Schizosaccharomyces pombe: one gene and its partners. The protein of the gene in region 2 purifies or fractionates together with the protein of the main gene of each other region. This does not show direct contact. Each region holds a gene or a part of one and is shown on either strand. Other genes may lie near its edges. The genes, in order: npr3, iml1, npr2 and sea2.

The links.
Region 1: the proteins of iml1 (region 2) and npr3 purify together in Schizosaccharomyces pombe (affinity purification with western blotting; one study listed by BioGRID). This does not show direct contact.
Region 3: the proteins of iml1 (region 2) and npr2 purify together in Schizosaccharomyces pombe (affinity purification with western blotting; one study listed by BioGRID). This does not show direct contact.
Region 4: the proteins of iml1 (region 2) and sea2 purify together in Schizosaccharomyces pombe (affinity purification with western blotting, with the first as the bait; one study listed by BioGRID). This does not show direct contact.

The regions. Positions count from the first base shown.
Region 1 is NC_003423.3:4,303,949-4,308,451, reverse strand, and holds npr3 (Npr2/3 complex subunit Npr3), read right to left. Parts: upstream 2,592-4,503; 5' UTR 2,424-2,591; coding exon 1,360-2,423; intron 1,295-1,359; coding exon 601-1,294; 3' UTR 525-600; downstream 1-524. Other genes in the region: bor1 (HC03 family inorganic anion exchanger), read left to right, coding at 1-19, 73-396; Ku domain protein Pku80 , read left to right, coding at 3,085-3,213, 3,258-3,312, 3,368-3,434, 3,475-4,503.
Region 2 is NC_003423.3:3,948,406-3,955,667, reverse strand, and holds iml1 (GATOR1-SEACIT GTPase activating complex subunit Iml1), read left to right. Parts: upstream 1-1,858; 5' UTR 1,859-1,992; coding exon 1,993-6,483; 3' UTR 6,484-6,758; downstream 6,759-7,262. Other genes in the region: pph3 (serine/threonine protein phosphatase), read left to right, coding at 1-378, 432-953; phosphatidylethanolamine N-methyltransferase Cho2, read right to left, coding at 6,890-7,262.
Region 3 is NC_003424.3:2,495,301-2,499,542, forward strand, and holds npr2 (Npr2/3 complex subunit Npr2), read right to left. Parts: upstream 2,263-4,242; 5' UTR 2,127-2,262; coding exon 1,619-2,126; intron 1,576-1,618; coding exon 1,439-1,575; intron 1,398-1,438; coding exon 813-1,397; 3' UTR 544-812; downstream 1-543. Other genes in the region: RING finger-like protein Ini1, read right to left, coding at 9-18.
Region 4 is NC_003424.3:2,655,263-2,663,005, reverse strand, and holds sea2 (SEACAT complex subunit Sea2), read left to right. Parts: upstream 1-1,950; 5' UTR 1,951-2,421; coding exon 2,422-4,962; 3' UTR 4,963-5,176; downstream 5,177-7,743. Other genes in the region: SM22/transgelin-like actin-modulating protein Stg1, read right to left, coding at 681-1,205; U5 snRNP complex subunit Spp42, read right to left, coding at 5,177-7,743.

The DNA of each region.
Region 1 (4,503 bases), 360 kb from region 2:
TTTAGCAGGATTATTTTGGGTATTTTTTTTTTTTTTTGAAGGGAAGATTATATTTTGCTAACTGAATTTTAGGTGATGGGGTTTTCAGCAATATTTGGCAACGGTATCACTCAAAACGTAATCTGGATGTTAAGTGACAGAAAGGTGGTATCTAAAAACCATACTTTAAACCACTGTAGCTCAAAACGCGTAGTTTGGTTATACACTATTTTGCAATTAATAGGTTTTGGTGCTACCTTTGCAATTACTCAGGTTGATAAAGCATCCATTGGTTTCCCTATTATTATTTTATTACTGATTCCATTTAGGACTTATTGTATGCCTAAATGGTTCCTTGAAGAAGATCTTGAAATTTTAGACGAAAATGTGGGAATTATTGCTTATCAAAAAGTATAATCTACTTTTTTTAAAGATGGGGTCTTCTATAAAATATAAAAAAAGCTTGATGGAATAGGTTGTATAATTAGGTATTTGTCATGACTTGATTTCAAAGACGTTTTCTAATAATTAATTTACTAATATCGTACAATGGTAATATATTTGGTGTGTTAAATTTTGATTAAATATTAATAAGCTAGTCCAAGCTATACTTTCGTAGTTTCACCAAGAATGCCATCGAAGGATGTAATCATTATACTCATTAAGAATATTTCGCATTAGTTTCCTTGGTAAGCCTTCGGCAACCCATATAGTTTGTAAAGCAAACCTACCATTTAAATATTTGACAATTGACGTAAACAATGGAGCCATTTCTGGTCCCCTCTCATAAGCTATAATTTGAATCCATTTCTGTTCAAGCAAAGAGGCAGAGTGCGGATCAATGATAATAGACTCTTTGCCATTATCTTGTTCAAGTTGCTTTCTAAGCTGCATGTCATTTTTAGAAGACTCATCAGATTCTATTAGTGCAATCGCTTTTTTCTTAATTTCTTCTGGAACGAGAATATACATATAGATATTCTGTTCATAAACCCAATTTCTTCGACACAGCCAAGCAAGCATTTCCAAATAAACTAACTCATGATCTTTCGATGGAATAATGGAGGCAAATGGTCGCGGTTTAAACGACAAAATAGCTAAAAATGTTGACAGTGAGGGAAGGCTCGGAAATTCCTTTTTAAAAAGCTTTGACTCCTCCTCCAAATTAAACAGATTAGCAGTTGGGGATGTAACATAAGTATTCCGGATTAACAAAGGAGGAATAGCGATAGCCTTTCTCCAATGAATAAGGTGTTTTGCTAGAATAAAGCATTCTGATACTGATATTCCTAGACGATTAGCGATATCTGTGAACCTGAAATATTGTAAGTTAGTATTTAATAGCAATAATAAATTTTGTTTAGACTTGACAAAACTTACGTTAAGTTAGGTTTTACTATGGCAATGAAAGAAGAAAGAAGAGAATTTTGTAAAAGAGGAACACGTTTCATTATAGTGTCTGTATCCTTTAAGAGCAACAAAGTCCAATAGGGGGCAACGAAAGGTTCAATAGAGGAAGGATGTTCTTCAGAGAAGATGGTTTGAGATGCTAAAATAGTTGATGGTCTAACCTGCAGTTCGTAATTTTCAAGTGTGTTGGTGGAAACCGACATAGGCCAGAGTAAGCTTAAGTTAATCGATTGATTTATCTCTAAATAAGCCGTATGCATGTTAATTAAAGCCTCATATGTAGTAGCAAGAACCGAAGCAAGATTTGAGTGATGAGGGATTTGAGCGGCATACACATCGAATGGGACGTTTTGGCTTGAATATTTTTCAGTCAGTTTTAAGATGTGTATACACTCATTTTCAACATAATTCCGTTTTGCTTGTTCATATTTAAGTCCAGTAACTAACTTGACTACTATATGATCATACATCGTGTTTACAGTAGGGCGATATACGGTAGCTGTAGGCACATTTAATACAAAGACGACATGAAATAAAGACATTGAAGATCTCGATTTTGATGAAGATGATTTTACTTCAAAACTTCCTGTCGAAGGGTGTGAAGATTCGGGCTTTGATACCAAATGGCTCGAAGAAGCATTAGACTCAACAGTAGTTCGTGGTTTCCTTCGTTTAGCCCACTCACCGTTCGGACCAATATGAACAGGACATCCCAAAAAAGTAAGACCATCCACCCAAATTTCAAATTTTTGATTGCAAAGTTCAATACGAGGACTTAGCATATTTGCGAGAAAGCCTTTTTCATAACCAAGTACATGTGTATCGTCAGCTACTTCAGTAAACCTATTATTCTCATCATCATCGCTGTCATCAAGGTCGAGCATCCCGATTGCAGACTCCGCTGAATCATTATTATGATGAGTGGCTTGTAGACGTACTTGAGGTTGTAGCGGCCAGTGAAAGACGAAATTAGCTCCTGATGTTGTTTTTTCAACAAGGAAAATGGCTACTAATCGAGGAGTTAAGCGTACCATTTTGGCGTTTTAAAACAAAGTATAAATGTGTATGTTCGATAATTGAAGTACATATGTGTGTTTTTTAATATATTTTTCACAACAGAAAACCAAATATCACCTTAAACATTATACCTCAAGGGGGTGGTATCGTTTTCTGGTAATTTGCGTGTAGTACGAAAGATTTGTGAGCGATATGCATCTGGCAGCTCGGTGTTTTAATCGCCTAGTACAAAACTAATAAGATCTAACATGAATAGTTAAACTGAATGTTAACTAATTATTGACATCTTGAGATATGAGTTCACGGCTTTGTAAATTAATGTGTGAATTGAAAGTAAAAGCATCGCTATGCAAAATTTCTAATGTGCGTAAAACCTTAGCAACTTTAATAGCTCCAATTCAATTCTCAAGAGTTTCTGATTTAAGTTATAAAAATGAATTGACTAATTTATATACAATGTTTTGGGTTATTTACATTTCAGTCACATGTGCATTTGCACATATGCTGCTGGACTTACTGTTAATGTAGTATATTCATACCGCGAAGAAAATACCTGAATCATTTAAAATGACCGTGTAATTGATATCTAACTGTTGAAAGCATCGGAGGCCCCAATGTTCTACAACAAATCTCACCTTGCTTTGACCTCCACCAAATCTGTATTCCTTAACAATTCGTATGAGTGATAAGGAATGTACTGTTTTTGTACTTGACTTGGGCAAAGATATGGGGACCTGTCACCATGGCAGGTCTCATTCTGATCTCGAATGGACTTTGTCGTATTTTCACGACGAATTGTCTCATAAGGTATTTTGCTCAACATTATCGACACCCTATTGACACATACTCAGTTTTTAGCAAATAGGAAGACAGACGTAGTTGGAATCGTTGGTTACAAATGCGATGGTATTCTATTGTAATGTTTTAAAGGTACACTACTTCTAACTTTTACGGTGTTTAGATACGAAAAATGATTTAGCTGAGCAGGAAGCCTATTGGAATATCAGTGTTTTGTATCCTATACAAACGTAAGCTTTCTCTTAAATGCTCCATTAACTTCTTAACTAGTGCCTTATTTTCAAAGCTACAATCCGTTTCTCAAACGTTAAAACCAAGCAATACTATGCAAGGCGATCTGATATCTGCAATAGTTGTGTCCTTTGATTTGATGGCTCGGCATTGTAAAAAGAACAAATGGAAGAAGAAGATGATAGTGCTTACGGCAGCTAGGGGGATTATCGACTTTAGTGATTACATTGGAATTGCCGAACAACTACTGCAGCATGATGTTTTTCTAGGTGTTTATGGAGTTGATTTTGATCAAGAAGATATTAATTATTCTGAGCCTTTAAAGGAATCTCAGAAAAAGGAAAACGAAGTTCGAATTCAAGAGTTTGTTGAGAGTTGTCATGGTCAGTACTGCACATTTCAACAGATTTATAACAACATCGGTAAACCTTGGGTTCGTAAAGTGAGACCTGTCGCAATCTTTAGAGGTACATTTAGTATTGGTAATAGAGACAGCAAAGATACGTCTATAAGCATACAGGTTGAAAGATATCCTAGAACTCGTTTAACTAAACCGCCAACATCATCTGCTTTTTATGAAAACGATATGTCTAAAAATTATGAATGTCTTAATATCGAAAATTCAAATGTGGAAAACAAAAGTATGGAATCTGATGCAGTGTCTACTGTTCGATCGTACATGGTTCGTGATCCAAAAACAAACGATTCTTTTGAGGTTAAAAGAGAAGACTTGGAAAGCGGTTATAGTTATGGTAGGACAATCGTCCCGATCAGCCGATCAGATGAAGACGTATTGGCTTTAGATACAATACCCGGTTATGAAATCCTTGGATTTATTCCTAAATCTAGTCTTCCAATTTATTATACCATTAGTGATACTAATATAATCGTTCCAAAAGATGACTTCGAAAGCAAATTAAATTTTTCTGCCTTTGTTCAATCCCTTGAACGTGAACACCGATATGCGCTCGCAAGGTTTGTTTCTAAAGATAAGGGCGTACCAGTTTTGCTGGTCTTGATGCCTTACGTGGAGTTTAAAAGACATTACTTGGTTGATATACAACTTCC
Region 2 (7,262 bases):
ATTTGTGGTGATATCCATGGCCAATTGCATGATTTACTGGAGCTTTTTCGAATTGGTGGGTCATGTCCAGGTACAAAATATTTATTTCTAGGGGATTTTGTTGATAGAGGGTTTTACTCTGTAGAAACATTTCTCCTGTTATTGACTTTAAAATGTAAATATCCGAAAGAGATGACCCTTATCCGGGGAAATCATGAATCACGACAAATAACACAAGTTTATGGATTTTATGACGAATGTGTAAGGAAATATGGTTCTGCCAATGTATGGCGATATTGTTGTGAAATATTTGATTATCTTTCGCTTGGTGCTTTGGTGGATGGAAAGGTTTTTTGTGTGCACGGTGGACTTTCACCAAGCATCAGCAGTATCGATCAGGTATGTTATTAATTCCGAAAATTTGAACTAAACTTTTAACGCTTTTTATGAAGATTCGACTGTTGGATCGAAAACAAGAAGTTCCGCATGAAGGAGCAATGTGTGATCTACTTTGGTCAGATCCAGAAGATATTAGTGGATGGGGTTTATCTCCCAGAGGTGCTGGATTTTTGTTTGGTGCCGACGTTTCTGAAGTTTTTAATCGCGCTAATGACCTTTCATTCATTGCTCGTGCTCATCAATTGGTTATGGAGGGTTACAAAATCCATTTTTCCGATAAAGATAAACAGTATCCCAAATTTACAAATGAAGAGGACTCTGAGCTGGATTCAGATTCTGCCTCACCTGTTGATGATTCTCCGGCACCTGGAGACATAATAACCATTCCAGAAAAGGATAAAGGAAGCGTGGTTACTGTTTGGAGTGCACCCAATTACTGTTACAGATGTGGAAATGTTGCTTCTATATTACAACTTGATGAAAACCAAACGCAATCCTTTAAGATTTTTGGTACTGCCTCTCAAGAAAGATCTGGCATTCCAACAAAACGACCCATTGCCGACTACTTTTTATGATTATTCAAAATTCATTGCTCTACTTCACTTCCCCAATATCATGTATATAGGTCAACTTGTACTAAAGATTATCCCCTTAACTCTTCTTATTGGTCTCTCATTTTTAATTCTGCACTTATTTAATTCTTGTTTATGGAATTTGGTTATTTTAGCAATATTGATTTGTTTAGGACATCATAAATTTAAAAAGTAATTAAGTTAAATTTTAATTGTAACTTTTTTAAGCTAACTTTCAACGCACAAGATTGTTTAGTCGCTTTCTGAAGGTAATTTAAAGTAGATTGCAAAATGCTCGGTTTTCAAACATTAATCCTCATTTGATCGAACTTCAAACCTGAATTCAGAAACTGGGGTGATGAATATCATTTTTTAAGCTTAATGCTGAAAATTTAATATTACATTATTGAGTCAGCTGGTTTGAGTCTTTGTAGTTTAGACTGCACCCCAATTCAACAAATCCGTTAGCCAAAAAATGAAATAAACAATTGGAATTCAGCCTCTGTTTCAATCACTGAATTGTAATCTAATATCATATATTGAAGTCAATAGAATAAAGTCAATGATATACGAGGTATAAACGTAAGAACACCTACATCTTAAACATTCGATATGATAGAAACATTTTTTTCAAATAAATTCTAAGTAATACAGTATCACAAAAAAAAAAAAAAAAAAGATAACGAAGTGCTTGCTGGTATATTAATGATTGTGTCTTAGACAATCAAGTATTCGTGCAAGTAGTATACATTCTGCCTTAAATTAAATATTTAGTCATGAGTCATATAATATACACAATTATGCTCTACCTTTATAAATGCAACATTTACTATTTGATTTTATGATAAGAGTAACCTGTGTTTACTAGTGCAATTTATCTTGGTGTTATACTGGATTTTTGCAGCTCTACCCCAACATCCGCCTAATCAAAATCAAACGTATAAAGTTGTGTAAAGAGATTATTTACTTCTTTTTTTGATACAATTCTTGTATTTAATTTTTTGATTACTGCCTTAATGGCGTAGGTTGTTCAATTCATGAAATGGCTATTACCTTGAACCTGTGGACGCACGAATCATCATTGTTTCCAAACGATGCAGTCTTAAATTATGATTTAGTACCTTCTGCTAAACCTGGTGATATTTTTGAAATAAGGGCCCAAAATGGTGATGAAATCGCTTTACAGCATAATCACTCAAGCACAGGGAAACTACATGCTAAACGTGAAAAAGAACCAGTATATTTGATGCCCTCCCCTTTAACAGATGATTTAAAGAGGCGACATCCGAATCTGCAACTTTCAGTTGTATCTCACATAAGCTCTTTGCTCAATATAAAAAATCGTGAACCGGTGGTTGTCAAAATTTGTGAAGACAAAACTAATTTAGAAGCCGAACATGTGGTAATTTTTTTTCGGGACCAATTTATATCTAGAAGCGATATGTGGAAGCTTTTTAGAGAATTATGCGGTAAATGCGTTTATCTAAAACAGCGTGTTTCCTTTATAGGAGATGTGCCTGGAGAAATTAGATGTATATGGAGAAAAGGAAAAAAATGTCATTCAGCGTACATTTCAGAACGCACTAAGCCAATTTTTCGGTCTGAAAGTGCCAGATTTCTAATTTTTATTCAAATGAGTGAAGAGATGTGGCACTTTGAAGAAGATGGAGAGCTCAATTATAACAAAGCAATAGATGGTTTTCTTCCTGATCTTTTTTCTTTTTGGAGAGACTTAGGAACTCATCATTTGGTTTCTATAATTTTGTTTACTCGTGTCGAGTACAGCCACCATGGGCCTATGTGTGTTTGGCAACCAAGGTCTCAAAAAAATAGTGAAAAAGGAAGTAGTATTTATCCACAAAATTCTTTCAATGCTTCTATTGATAACGAAGGTGGTCCTTACGAAGATTTTTTCAAGGTGGTGGTGGATAATGTTTCTAGCAGAGATTGGCAACCTGTTTTAGCAAATTTGAAACTAGAACTTGCAAAATTTCGACAAGATGTCATTGTTAGGAAAATTAAGGATGAAAATGGGAGAGAAATTGAGTATATATGCGGAAGGATGACAGGATCCCAAGAAGGCAACTTTTTGGAAGTCATTAATATGGCTGTCTTTCAATTTCAGTCAGATTATATCGACAGAGATTTATCACGTACTGGTACTAGTATCATAATAGTTACCCCAGGAACTGGTTTATATGAAGTAAATGAAAAAATGCTACACTTGACTTCTAAAAGCTTACTCAATACCGTTGTTGGTATGGATATCGTATCCTTAGGAAAAGTTCCTTTATTTCTAACGCCTATTGTTCGATACAAAAATCCGGTGAAAAACAAAAAAAGATCCCAACTAACCAGCAGAATTTCTTCTTCCGTTTCCCCTTCTAATGTAATACCAAATTCCTTAACGTCATCAGTTTCAAACTTCTCAGTGTCTTCCTTTTTGAATAATTTAAAGGAGGATACCGAATGGTTATATACATTTCCAATTGGCTGTAACATTAGTTTTTACAGTACTACGGAAATGAGGTCCTTACGTTCTCCTTGGGAAAATTTAATGCGAGAACATCAATTTGAGCCTACTGCAAAAATGCATGAATTACAAATGATGGGTGTACTGGAAGCCGAAAGTGCCAAAATTTCGATTCCATTATTACAGTCTGATCCATTGTTGAAAGGGTCTGTGTTCAGTGAAGAAGTGCAAGAAGATTACGATGAACGGCAATTTACTGGTGAGGCTGCTGTTAGTGCAAACGATGTTTTGAGCTCATCATCTCCTCGCCATTTCTCATCTCATACACCCGTTAATGTGGACAAAAGTTCTTACCTTGAGATGAATGGGCATAGTCTTTCTACAGTAATTTCAGGGAAAGAATCGATATCTAGTTTTGGAGCTAAAGTTGATGATCTTAAAAGCACCAGCAAAGAGTCGGCAAGACAGTTTGGTAAATCTGCCCTCACCGAAAGGCTACAGAAATTAGCTGGTAACTCTAGCAATGTATCGTCTTCCTTACAAACGTCTTCATCTAATAAGTCTTCACTTCTTACCAAAAAGTCTTCCTTTCCGGCTTTATTAAAAGGTTTCTTGGCTCTCCCCGCTACGGTTACTACTTCGGCAAACCCACTTGGTTTCAAATCTACAATTCAAAGACCTATTCCGATCAAAAATAATGAAGATAGTGATAGTTGCAAGGCTTTTAGTCAAGCTCCTCCAATAGCGACAAAAAAGCCCCCAACGTTTTTAAAGCCCAACAGTCCTGAATATGCTAAGACTGTAATTCCGAAAAGTTCTACCAATTTAGAGAATGAATATCAAACACCATGGAAGATTATTCAAAATCCTTTTAAACTGAAAGAGACAACTGCTGATAATGATCCCGTTTCTTTAAGATGGGAACATCTCTATATGAAAGTGCAGGATGTTAGGAAGTTTAATTGGCTTTCCATGTGTACTCCTGGTGCGCTTCCGTTAACTTTTAGTTACTTCCCTTCTGAAGAGGAATTGAATGATAAATTTGAGGAATACACATACACAATTGGAATCGATCCTGAATTTACTCAAATGAATCAACAGGAATTACTTGCTGAGATGATTTGTCAAAGATTATCACGTGGATATCAAATTGTGGTTAATCCAGCTGCCGCGGTCTCTTATAGCGGTAATCCCAAGGCCAATAAGGCAGGAACGATTACCGATTTCTCTCGCTCTGTAAATAATCAAAGAAATGGGCATTTAACAGTAGGCAGTGATGCAGTTTGCCTTTCTCTAGGCGATAGTCAGTTCCACAGGCTTTCATGTGATTCAGTAGGATACAATATTGAAGTAAAGCGTTATGTCAAAAAGGTTTCTGGTCAAGGTAAAATGAGATACGATTATAATTTTTGGTCTAAAAATGAATGTAAATATGTCAAGTCTAATATCACATTTTCTGCCAATGATTCCGCAAATTATAATTGGAATTACGTCGATCAATTAATATGTGGATTTGAGACTTATTTACCCGACTCTGTTAAATATTGGCGAGCCCGTTTTGTGTTGTTACCAATGTCTACTACATCAACACATGTTTTTCAAAAGTATCAATTGCTGGATCATGCGGATGCTCTAAGCGATGAAGAATTTAGAGTTGAAGGTATTTACAAGCTAAGTGAACTTTTGTATAAAGGAAAAATTGACCCCATGAATGACAGCAATAATAAAACACCGAATACTTCGCCTGCTGAACTTCTAGGAATCAAATTTACAACTTTACCAATGGCTCAGTATATTCACTCTGAATTAGAAGCGTTGCGATTGGATTCTTCTAGGAATGAACAATCATTGTTTATGCCTAATAAACGATTAGATTGCTCTGCTGACCTTCATACCATCGCTAAAGAAATTCAAGGGCCTGGTGGTCCTAAAATTGACGATATTACATGGCATTACAGAATTTATGAGAATTGTTTTCTTGGGAGTGAATTTGTTTCCTGGTTAGCTAATACCTTCATTGGTATCAATACTAGAGAAGAAGCTCTTAAATATGGAAATAAGTTGTTAAGCCTAGGACTCTTTGATCATGCATTAAAAAAACACCCTTTGTTAGATGGCTACTATGTTTATCGAATTTCACCCGATTACAGTATCAAACCTGTTTCAAACAGGCCATATCGTAGTTGGTTCAGTCGAAAAAAAGATTCAGGTCAAAAACATTTAGATAATAAAATAATAACAGAATCAGAAGCTGGTCCTTCTCGGTTAGAGTTGTCGAGACGCATTTTGTTTAATGCAGACGTTGAGAAAAAAAATGGGAAATCCGAAACAGTGACCGTCCATTACGATTTGCTTCATAATCCTGCCTCATGTTATCATATTCGCATTGAATGGTTATTGGCTACAGCAAGTGTTATCGAGAAGCTCCTTCAATCTTGGTCACGGATTTTAGAGCGTTATGGCTTGAAATTAGTGGAAGCTCCAATTCATGAAATTGCAGCCGTCGGAGAACTTAACCCCTTTGACCAAGTCTCGATCATTTCACTAGCGTTAGATCCTCCACCTATTCCTGAACGAGCGCCTCTGGTAAATGATCCAGTGAACTATTCTAAGAATTGGTGGAATGTTAAAATTCTTGAGCACTTTGATTTTATTTTAGACACCGAAGCAGCTAGTACGTTTCCGAAATCAATTACCGCAGTTTATTCTTGGGGAAAACCTAACTTTCGTTACGTACAATACATACACAGAACAGGAACTGTGCTAGTTCAAATTGATGATGATCAACGATTTTTGTGGCTTCCAAATCGCCTTCATAACTCAAAGGTTAGCAAATTGAGTTTCACCAAAAGCAACAAAAGCACTTTGAATCCTAATTTGAAAGAGACTGCTGAAGAATTAGAGCGTAAATTTAGGGAATTTTGCTCAAATAAAGATGAGCTGGATCAGTTTTATGGTATTGTGAATCATGCAAGTGATGATCGTCGTAGTATTTATTCTTCAGCTAGTACTCATGCTTCAAATGCTTCAGCAGATGATGCCTCTAATGTTAACGTATAATTATAATCAATTTCATTTTGACACGATTTCCATAACCTTTTTTTACCTTATTAGATTGTTATTACAGTTTTTATATACTTTAATATAGTCAACGTTTATGAATAATTTACTAAAGGTTATTTTTTTTGAGACTACATTTGGAATATACAAATTGTTCGGTATAGCTATTCAAAATTGGATTCAATCAATGATTAAAATTGATGATCTCAGGTTACCTAAATATCCATACATATTTATCTTTGGGGTTTTTTTTTTGAATTAAAAGATCATTTAAATTATACTTTTCATTTATTAAAATAAAGTATATATATTCAGTAACATTATTTGTCTAAAGCGGTTGAAGCTCACTAGTCATGTAAGAGCAAAAATTCATGTTGAATGAATAAATCATAAAATTGTTGAATATTTAATCATCTTTTGCACCGCTGGGACCATCAAAAGATTGTAAAATTTTTAAGGAATTGACGATTCTTCGAGATAAAGCGCTACAGCTGCCATCTACTTGAACAACGCGATAACTTAAATCTATGCCGAAGCTATACTTGATGATAGAAGTTAGTTTTCTAGCAGAACCTTCAGAAATATCGCACAAGGACGCATCACCATCATGCGGTGTTATATTAGGGTCACAAAATTTAATGGATTTAAGTAAATATGCTGAAACTTCATCCACGTCGGTAGTATTCATTGAAGTTGCAGTGATCACGAAAGGTTCTGTTTTTGCCATAACTAAATGCTTTCCCCCATAATGATAACGGAATTCAAACGTTCCGGTTTCC
Region 3 (4,242 bases), on a different chromosome or scaffold from region 2:
TTCCATACGCTTTGACATTGTGAATATACTCAGAGGATTAATTTCAATGCAGCAGATATATATAGTAAATTTACGACGGTCCTTCGCGTTACGTTATGCTTAGTAAAATATAAACATCCTCTTCTGATTTCAAATTTCGTACTCGCTATTATGGATACGTTAAGCTGCAATACAGCCATGCAATGGCATAAACAAGTCGGAAAATGCGCGTTAGCAGTTGAAGTGCTATTATAAACAACGTATTAATAATGCTTGCAAGTATGTACCAAATATACTCTCCATTAAGCTGAGGATCTTTTTTTGTTGCGCCATATTTACGGAATTTTTGAACAATAAAGTAAAATAGAAATAAAATCTACTATTAACATTTATGAATTTATGATCAATGGACATACAGTAGTCGATGTTTACTGATGTATTGATGAAATTCAATTTTCATGGTAATCTTGTAGAATAAATAATTCTTTGTAGTAAAACAAATAAATGACGAAAATAAAGTGTTAAATACTTCTAATTAGGTACGCGATAACCAAAATTTAGATTCTTAAGTTTCAGCGTATAAACAAAAGGCACAATTACAATCGTTTTCCCTAACAGGCCAATTTACAGATAATCAACCATTGTAAATTGCAGTGTTTTGATAATATCTTCAAATTTATTCATAGTCATAAATATGATGCTAATGTATTCCAATCCTATACTTGACAATTTTGAAATTGACAGCAGAACTCGCAATGAAGATAAATTAAAACGACTATAGCTCCGATCATCCGAAAAAATAACAAGACTAATCGCAAGACTATTTTTTTTATTCATACATAAATAAAACAGGCATCACCCAATCCAGCAATCATTTCATTAACAACCTTTGGAGACTTTTTCAATGTGACACACAATTCATCAAAATGGTGCTTTCCATCCAGCAAACCAAGCAGTTTTTTCTCTTCTTCGGTTAAGTTATTCCTCATAGTCCTTCGTTCTAAGTATGGGTATTTATGCACACGATATATTAGCCCTTTTATAGTACCGAACGAGATTAGCCTTCGAACGTCTAAACCTTTGAAAATTTCTTTGTTCTCGTTCATCCAATCCTTAACACGAAGTCCTTGCCTTAAACTACAATACAGTTTGAAAATAGTAGCAAAAGTAACGTTTTTCGCATTAGAGCTGTTAGTTGATACATATGCCGTACATTCTCTTTGAAAATCTGGGTCTTGTAAAAGGTTAGGAGCATTAGTAGTCATAGCATAAATATTATGGAATTGAAAAATATCAGCTATAATTAGACAACCGTAATATAGAAAGTGTTCCATGCATTTTTGACAACTTCTATAGCTAACATTAGCTAATTCAGCAATCCTTTGAACTGAGTTTATGCCATTAATAAAAGGATAAACCTAAAAAATTAGTCAATTTTAATTTTTTTGGAAGAGAGTACCTTTTGAACAGTCATATCCCAATTTTTGTCCATGAGTAAATCCAACTGAGCCGTTAAAATTGGTACATGAAAACTTTTAACAGTAGGAGGAGAAGGAAAAACGGGAAAAAGCTTGATATTAATAGAATTTTGGTCGTCTTAGAAAGTTAGTTAAAGTCCGAATGAAATAATTGCGCATACCTAGCTGTATCATACACTCACAAAAGTTGTTCATGTCCTCCAAAATTTGCTCAATTACGCTGAAAATTACAGGTCTTTTGTTCAAATCAGATATATAATGAATTTGCTTTTCTAAGACCTCTAAATTTCTCGCTAGTCGCTTTACTAGTGGTATATAACATGCTGAATCTTCTTCTTCATGAAAAATCATACACATGTTGAAAATCAAAGCATTTCTCTCATAATTGCTACCTATAATTGATATTGGATGTCCAATGACTTGATAATGATTAGTACAAACAGTAATTGTTTTGTTGCAAAGTTCGCGTTTCGGAATCACATAGTCAGAAATAGTTTCGAATGGTAAAAGACAGTTCTTTCCACCATCAACATTTGTTACCGATCCAGCAGGAGCTTCACAAGCTACTATAGGGCCTTGTAAGGGATCAAATAATGCAAAAAATATTGCCAATAAACGAGGCGGAAAGCTGTCAGCTTGATCCATCCATCCCTCTTCAGAATACTCCATAGGAAAGCTAAAGAATTTAAAAATTTCCGAGTTTTTTATCTAACCTTTAATTTATGAAGCTAAAACTTGTAAGATATTTATTTTAATATTTCGTTATGCCCCTACTGGTGGATGCAAAAGCTTATGTGCAAGTGTCGATTTGGGGACTAACTTCAAAAACCATATAAATCTTTGTACGCTACCCAGAAAAGTAGTTGTGCTAATGAATTTATTATTTACAAACAATATTCAGATTTCTGCATTGATGTAACGGTAAGATGGAAAGTCATATAACACTTGTGTACATTGGGTCAGTAAATTATACAAATTTGATTCTTAACGTCAAAGCTTCCTGACTACAGCCACATTTCGCTACATCATTAATGTTAATAAGGTGATAAAAATCATATCTGTATTAACATTAAGGATTATTTCGTATGGATAACAGATGCTAGCAGCCTCTAGGGTTAAAAGATTTTAAAAAAGTATAAAACTTGATTTTCTTAATCTTTTTGCTTGATAACTGCGCTAGTAATATCCAGTATACACAGTAATCATATAAAAATAGTTAATCTTTGAAACGATAGTTAATAGACTTCAGTCGGATAAATCAAATTTTTACTGAACAGGAAGTTTTAATAAAAGTATTTGTGTTATTTTTACGCTAGAATTCAAATACTAAAACTAAATTTGTGTAAAGCAGTATTATTACAACTTCTGCTTAATTCTTAACGTAAGCTTTCGCTTAACTTAAACCTAAATAAAAAGATCACAAAACCGCTAGATAATTGTAAAACCTTTTATCCATTCACTGAGTCAATTATTTGTCCATATATAAATCTAGAGAGAGAGAATTGTTTTGTTACTATAATTGATTTCCTATCTTTTCAAACATTTGAAGATATAAATCGCTAGTTTCCACAGAAAATTAAAATAATGAGGCACCAAGCCATATTGACTGTATAAAAGATAAATTAAGGAGATACAGTGGAAAATTGTGATTGAGCCAGTGAATTTTTTCGCTGTTAGAAAGCAACGAAAAATACGTCAAATCATTGAAACTTCAATTAGGCATAAGTGCATGAAAGCTCGATAATTGTTCGAGTTGTTTAGCTTAAAACGAATAGATTAAAGTGCGAAAAGAGCGGATGCGTTTAATTTTTAGGATATTTGGTTTCTTTTAATGAGCTTTAGTTCATTCTTACTATATCGTTTTGTAAATAAACAGGTTCTGCCTGGTTTTCTCCTTCCTATTTTTTATAAGCAATATATCCTTAGAGTTTTCATAAACTTGACAACTTAACAAAATTAGTTGCTTGAAGTTTGAAGGGCCTCCGTTAATGGCTTTTTTTTTGTTTTTAATTTGATACGCTTCACTTTCAAGTTGATCATTATAACGTACCTCAGTGAGATAAAGACTGACGAGTCATCCAGCTCTAGCTAAGTATACTCGAGATATTTTATTGCAATATCTAATAATCATTTAAACAAAACTTGAATAATTCTGTTAAAATCGCAATTCATAAAACTGTTATGTAATTGTCATCGCTTATACATTAGCTTGTGATATTTACGTGTTTATCCGAGTGCACTATACATTAAAGGCACTACCACACCCGGCCAAATTGAATGTTTTGGGATTTTAAACATCGAATTGAACAGTCTGTTACAAATTTTAGAGAAACAACTTATGAAGCTTTTAGCCGATGTAAATTATTCTTGAAGACACTTCCAAAAACATCAATTTTTTTTTTTGACAGTAATTATACTAGAATGCCTTTTGATAATATGTTTTGAAGGATATTGTATCGGACAATTCCGTACTGTGGAATTGCTAAAGAATCTTGGAATTGACAGTTTGCCTATTTCATTAACGCTATTTATTTTTGCATGCTTCTTTATATTATATTTATGCGTAGAAGCTTTAAGTTCAAAAAATATAATTGAGGTACGTGAATTTTAAGCTATCCGTTTTTATCAACTAGAAAAAGCAAGCGGGATTTAAGTTTAATTCTTAAACAGTGCTAACATCCTTAGATCATCGGATTGCTATGCATTCATGTCGCATTATTTATTTATTCCATTGTTCAAATTTCAGAATTAGCAGAGATTCAGAAAGTTTTTCTTTCCAAAACAC
Region 4 (7,743 bases), on a different chromosome or scaffold from region 2:
ATCTACTTTGTTTCTTGCAAAACTGGTCTACCAGCATTTTCTTTTGTATACAAGCTTTAAAATTTTTATTTAATTTCTGACTTGAGTAAATTTTAAGCAAACAATTTTAACAACATCTCTAGTATTTCTGCAATTTTCAATGTACATACATTTTTTTTTTATAATATCTCACAAAACTATTTGTAAATACGTTTACCGACCTGCTTATCATTTAAGAAATTGAATACAAAAATAACAAAATAAATAAATAAAGTGTGCATTTTTATTAATCACTGATACTTCCATAACTAATTTTTGCAACATTTTTTTTTTTCTCTGCAGCTTTGTAAGGAAACGCTCATGAAACAATGAATTGTCGTATTGCTTTTTTAAGTCATTTGATACGACGAGAAATCTAGCAATACAGCACCAAACATAAGATTTTAAATGTGTTTTCAAACTACGAATCAAACTATAATTCAATTTATGTTTTAGTGTCGTAAAAAAAACATATCATTATGAATATTTAAAGCAAAACTTAAGCTTCTATATTTATACACATCTTTTACAAGACCTCACGTTTCACTCCTATTATGGATTCGGCAGATTTTACGAATGAATGAAAATAAATAAGTTATCAAAAAGTACAAGAAGCGAAGATATAAAGTTATACAATCTTCAATCTCTTTCCCTACACAAGACTAATACATATTTCCGGTCGGGTCCCTGCGTCTAGAAAATGCAATCTTCTCGGTTCCCTGTGTCGGCATATCAAAGCTTCCATACTGAAGACTATTTACGCCTTCTCGAAACTCACGCTGCTGCTGTGCTGAGAAAACACGAGGCTTCTTCTCTGCCAATTTAGGACCCAAACCACGAACTTTGCCGGGAAACATTTTCGCGGCATAGCGCGAAAAGGAGTGAATACTTCTTAAAACCTGTTCATCATTTCTCCGCTCAAATAAATCAGAAGTTTGAAACATATCTTGTGAAGGAACATGTACAACTTGCTGTGCATAGTTAATGAAGGCAGATATGTTTTCCATTTGGACAAAAGGCATGTTAGATTCTTTGTATCGAATGTTAGCGCCTAAAGCTTCTTTGCAAATTCTGCAAAGAATCACCCCGGATTGTAATTGATCCAGTAAGTCTAACTGAGCATTCAATTTCGTATGCAAAGTTTCTTCGATCCATTCTCTTGCTTCTTTTTCAAGTTGAGACGTCATTTCTCACGAAAATTTAAATAAAAATAAAGAAAAGTTCCAAGAAATTATATCACGGAACGCCCAATGACAGTTTGGTTTTTCAGAGGTGGTTAGTGAAAAGCGGCTTCGTATAAGCCTGACGAGTGCCATCTTAATTCAATGTGTAGCAACTGGACTTAATAGATCATTTAGCGTAACTCCAGCTACGCAATTCGTATCTGAGTTTAAGGTACAGTAGACTGCGTAAACTCTTTATCAGCAAACTAACTCTTGTACGGTAAACTGATGATTTGTTCTTACTAATTAGTACTATATAAAGTAGAGTCGAATTACTTTGCTTCACAATTCGTTTATGGAATGAAGACTTGTTTATTTAATTTCGAAAGCATCATTATATTACAAAATACAAACCGACAAGGTACTGCAAACCGCTTTTTCGATTGACACTGTGCAACTGACATTGGACTGACCGGCTTTGCTTACTTATATCGTCATATATAACATGTTATCTTCATATTTAATATTGTAGCTACTATAACTCTACGAAAGAAGCATTGAAAGATAAGCTCAACAGTACCATTCTTTAAATGTTGTAAATCAGCGTAAACGAAATTTTAAATCATAAGTCATGTATACGCGACAAATGCCATAGTAAAATGTGAAACCTATATAATGAACTCTACAGGAATGCAGTATAGCGTTACAGGATGCAATATTGCTGATTCATAGCGAGATTCAGAAGTAAATTCACAAAACCAAACTTACTAGAAGCAATAAGCAACTGAACTTCGTAAAAATAAATTATATTTGAACTTTTATTCTTTTGAAAACTTCCGATGTGTAATTGTTCTGATTGAATTTCCTCAATAATTGAAAATTCGAAAGCTCTTATTTGTTCACTAACATTGGACTTGATATTTACATTAGCAGAAACTTTTCTTACTGTTAGTTGCTCCTCTACTTTTCTACTTTATCTTTTTGGTTAATGTATCAAAACAAATAGTTTGATAAAGAATAGTCTACTTTTTTCTGACTTTTACTATTGAACGATCTTGCAACGTTAATTTTACCAATGTACGGTGAGTGTCACCATACTTGCATTTCACTTCAGCAATTTCTTTGACTTCCTGTCCGATATTTAAGAACTTGTTTCCTTTTCTGTATGCAAATTTCCTAAATCATTTTAGAAGGCATCAGCTGCTACTCTACCAGCTTCATTTTGTTTTCAAATTCGTAAATGCCTTCACGAAACTCAAACGTCCTTCAGCGACCTACTTATGCCCAACTTGCTAGCACATCTGTAAAGTCATCCAAAGGACTTGTTAGTTACCAAGACTGGGTTGTTGATGTAAAGGCCTCCATCAGTGCTATTTCGGTAAATAAAAGCCGTACAAAAGTGGGTGTAGCAGGCCGAGAGCTTCTAAAAGTTCTAGCTGTTAATCCAAACTCTTCAAAGCCTCCTGTTTGCATCTCTGACCTTCTACAAAAATCAACACAAACAAAGCACATCTCTTGCAATGATGTAAAGTGGGGTAGTAGTTTTGCTTCAAATTTAATTTTTACATGTTCACCGCTTGGTAATCTCAATGTATGGGATGTTAATTTAGAAGCCCTTCTCTATGACTTTAATGAGCATTCTCGAGCCGTACATAAATTGGATATCTCTTCATTTCACCCGTCTTACGTTTTAACAGCCTCTCAGGATGGGTTAATTAAGCTTTGGGATTACAAGGAAAGCTCATCAACAATCACTTTTCGTGGAAATTCTGAAGCTGCTCGAGACGTCGTATTCTCCCCTTCTGAGCCAAATGAGTTCGTTGCCGCTTATGACAGTGGGATCTTGCAAAAATGGGATATCCGGTTTCCAAAACTTCCTTTTTTAAAATTAGCTGCACATAATGGTGTTGTTTTGTGTGTTAATTATAGTCCTAATGGTGTTTTTTTAGCGTCATGCGGGAGAGATAAGACTATTCGTATTTGGGATTCCACAAGCAACAAAAAAAAGTCCCTTATAACTATCAATAATGTCAGTCCCCTCAATTGTGTTCGTTGGCGACCGGCTAATCAGCAATCGAGAGGTTCTAATCAACTTGCAAGCTCTTCTCTTGTAGGTGATACCGCAATAAATGTTTGGGATATTACTAGGCCTTATATCCCATACAGAACCGTCAGTTGTCATGATAGTATTGTTTCAACGATGCATTGGGCTTCTACAGAGCTACTCTGGTCTTGTAGTAAAGATGGAATTTTTTCTCAGACGAGAGTTGAAAATGCCTTTAATTGTATTGATATGCTTCCACGTGCAACTAGTTCATGGTCAACTAAAAATAGCCTTGTGTTCTCTTCAAATCCTATTTCTAATCAAAGATTGTCGTCGTTAAATCGTGTCGCATCTTTTGAGAGCAATATCAGCTCTTTAAAGTCCGCTTTATATGCCTCTCAAAATTCTGATGGGTCCACAAGTAATCCTGTTCCTTTTGTGCCTCACAATTTTGTTGGCATTCCTCAGGAACTAGGGATCCTTGCATATCGCTCTGAAGATGTTGCTCAATTTTGCTATTTAGCCAAAAATTATCGCATATCAGGAGATATCTCTTCTGCTTGTAAAGAGAACGCATTTTTTGCACGAAATGTTGGAGCTGAATTTGCTTATCAAATTTGGGATGCTTTGTATTTTTCACTAGGGGTACTTAACAATTCTGATAAAGGAATTAGTGAATTAATAAATATTCCTTTTGTTTCTGCTAACAATTCTATGGCTGATGATGAGAAAGGTCGAAATTTAAAAAATTTAACGCAAATTTCAACGTCCTCAACCCCCGCTCATGATAATTTATCATTAAATGATTTTTTTGAACCACGGGAAGCATCTACTCCTTCAGAATCCTCTAATTCATCTATCGAATCCGAGGACAATCTCGATAAAGCCGTCCTTAATAAGCAATCGCAATGGCATGATTTAGAAAATCCGATCGTATTAAAGAAAGGACAAGCACCGGTTAATAATTTTTCAACTGATAGCCGGGCAAGCATCAATTCATCCTATTTACTAGATTCTGCAGCATCAAATTATTCTGGTACGTCACATAACGAAATGTTCAATTCATTCCACAGAAGTTCTGTTACATCTGCTTCAATCAAATCGAGAGAAGCCGTATTGAGTGCTGGTAATTCTTCACGTCGAGCATCTATATTTTTAGACCAGTTATCATTACATGGAGATACTGATTCTGAAATTCCTATCGATGATCTACCTCCTATTGAACTTCCTTATGTTGTTACATCGATTATAAGCGACTGTATATCTCGAGGAGATGTCCAAACGGCAGCCTGCGTTTGTTCAGTTTTTTCATACCTAACTATAGATTTACCACGGATTCAATTAGACGATTTACTTGAAAGTTATGTTGATTTGTTAAGGAGATTCGGAATGTTCAGTGAAGCTACTCTCCTTATAAACATGTCTGGTTCAAAAAATCTCAAGTACATTCATTCAAGTAGTAGAGATTTGATTTTTGAAATGGAAAACAAAAAAGCAACCGGTAACGAGCAATCCGAAAAAGGTAAAGAAAATGCAAAGACCGTTACTAGTCTCAAAAAATGTGTTTATTGTGAGCTACCGTTAAGAGGCGTGCTCGTTTATCCTCCCGTTTGTGGCCACATCGGTCATGAAAGCTGTCTACGTTCTTGGTATTTTGATAATACAGACGATGCATTGCCAGTATGTCCAGTTCCCGGCTGCGGTGTCAAACTGCTAGATAAACGTGCTCTGATTTAAAAAACTATAATCTAACGCATATGTACTTGATGAAAAATTTGTATTACTATAAACTAATAATGATAATGTGGGATATTTTAAAAACCCATTTTTCTAGCTTTTTCACTAAATTCCATTTAACTAAAGCAAGATGTCATAAAGCACTCAAATTAGCAAAAATCAAAATATACATTAATTGCCCAAAATCCAGTTACGAAAATAAATAGCTCCTCATTCATGCAAATGCATCTGGCATATCTTCCTCTAATCTGTCATTCGTCTCCAGTTCAGTATAGCTTATTACATGAGTAGGTCTATGCTCTAAAGCAAAGAATGGCAGAGGGACATCAAGTTTTAAACTGTACGTCATTTTAGGACTGAAGCTTGCACCATTGAAATTATAATTCCATACGCCCTCTTCTGGTACCAAGAAAAATCCTTGAATTCTATCGGACAATAGCAGCTGACATTTTTCAGCCATAGAAGGTTCATACCCGATAGCTTCATCACTGTTGATATCCATGTTTTTTGATCCCCACTCAATTCCTTCCTTTGACACAGTATATGCAGCTAAGGATATCGAACCAGGAATGTAGCTCACTGTCAAAGTTACAGCTTTGGTATCCCATTCAGGATGAGAAGATAAAATTTTTGCATGTGTAGTTACATCGACAGATGATAAATAGGGAAGTTCAGAACTTTGAGTGTGTATCCAACCAAGGGGCTCAAGGTCTTCTAATATAGAAGGCTGAAGATCATGAGGCAGTTTAGAAGGAAGCTGCACATTTCTTATACTGCCAAGCTGTGGTACAAGTGCAATACAACGAATTTCCTTAATTTGAGGGTTGTCTGACGGACTTTTACCATACATATATCCGGCAACCTGTGTCCTTAAATCGGATATCGTAACAAACTTACGAAGCAGATTTTGAGGAAGAATGTATGTATAAGGAAAAGTTTCGCTGATATTATCAGAGTTAACATAAATGTTTTTTGTACGAAGGGGTAAACTGATAGATGATATGGCACGATTTCTCCATTCTGTTTTACTAGAAAACTTTTCATTTTCATACGCAGATGTTGTAGTAACCACCATTTCATCACCATGCACGTTAGTAGTTTTTGTGGTGACAGCCGTAACTTGGGCATTCTCACGGCCTTGCTTTTCTATTTCAGCTATCTGTTGACGTTGAAGAGAAGGAGCCGTTATTGTCATACCGAGAATAATATCTCGCACTTCCGAGTTCGTAAGACTAGCAACGTTAATATTGTTTTTCTTAGCATAATCAGCAAGGATCAAATCTCTAAGTTTCGGTTCAACATCAAGCCATTGTTGATCATCCAGGTTGGGCCACACGTGATTCTCTTTTGTAATTATAGACTTGTCTGGTCTAAGAATTAGCTTCGTTTTCTCAGTATTGACATTCAATGCGCGCAAGATAAGTATCAAGCGTGAAAAAGCTGTATACGATGATACCGATTGAAGCCAGTCATCATATAAATTGAAAAGTACCATTTGCGGTTCGGTGGCACGTAAAATCAAATCATTGATTTTATCAAGTTTAATAATCGCTTGGAAAGGAAGCTGTAATTCACTACCCTTAATGGTTATATTAGGAAAGTCCAAAAGATGAACTTCTAATGGATCCAACATGCCCTTTCGAGTTACTATAATCTGTCGAGGTTGTTCTTCAACAGGCAGAGAACGAATCAAAGCAGCAACTTCTTCAGCAGTCTTCCATTTCGCCAATTGTCCCAATCGTTTTTGTCCCGCCCAAACTGACGTATGAATAACTTTTAAGAACAATTGACCAGTTCTCGGATTGAATATAAAAATAGCACCATTAATGGGTTTCGTAGTCAAATTACCTTCAAATGTTTTATGAATGGTAACCCGATAAACATTAGTATCATCAACGAATAATTGAATTTGATTACTAAAGAGTTCAGCATAATTTGAGGAGGACAAATACTGCTCTTGGGGTTCAGAAGCATATAATTGAAGACCTTTTCGTATGCGTTCACGCAACACATATAAGGCTGGATTGGCTTTCATGATCTTGTTCATGCTCTGTTGAATTAATGGTTTCATACCAGGAATCCAGTTACCATATGCACTATGCATATTGTAACAAAGATCAATGCCGATTAAGACACCGGTCGGTGAAGGATACATGCTTTGAGCATCAGTGCTATAATCCAAAAATTTAGCTCTAGTATAACGTTCAATATCATGAGAATCATAATCTCCAAATCGAAGTTGTACATCAATCCAATATTTGTTGGTGGTAGTGTTGTCAAGCACATCGCGATTATCGTTCAATAAGGATGGCCTTGATACGTTCCATTTATAGGCAGCCAAAAGGAGGATATCTGCACAAGAACTATTCATTTTATAACTTTTACGAGGATGGATAGTTTCTTTTTGGACTGTTTCAATTTGCAATGACTCTAATTCTTGGTCAAGCACTTGACACAAATCCCAAACAACAGATTCATGAATTTTTTGCCATAAATGAGAACGAAAAATTTGAATGAGTGAAATCTTCAGGGTTGGAATTTTGCCATGCATCATGATTCCAGTCAAATCCAGTTGTACTTGAAATCCGACATAAACGTTAGCACGATTGATAGTGGGACTCCACCAAAGCGTAAATCTACGGTTAGGGATTTGATTTAAACCTGAACGCTGAGCATTAGTAAGCTTTTTGAACTTCATGGATTCTTCAAAACCAGATGCTTTTTCCCAAAAAAGACCTTCCCATGAAGGAAATCCAGTAGCTTTAAACATCGTATGCTCCA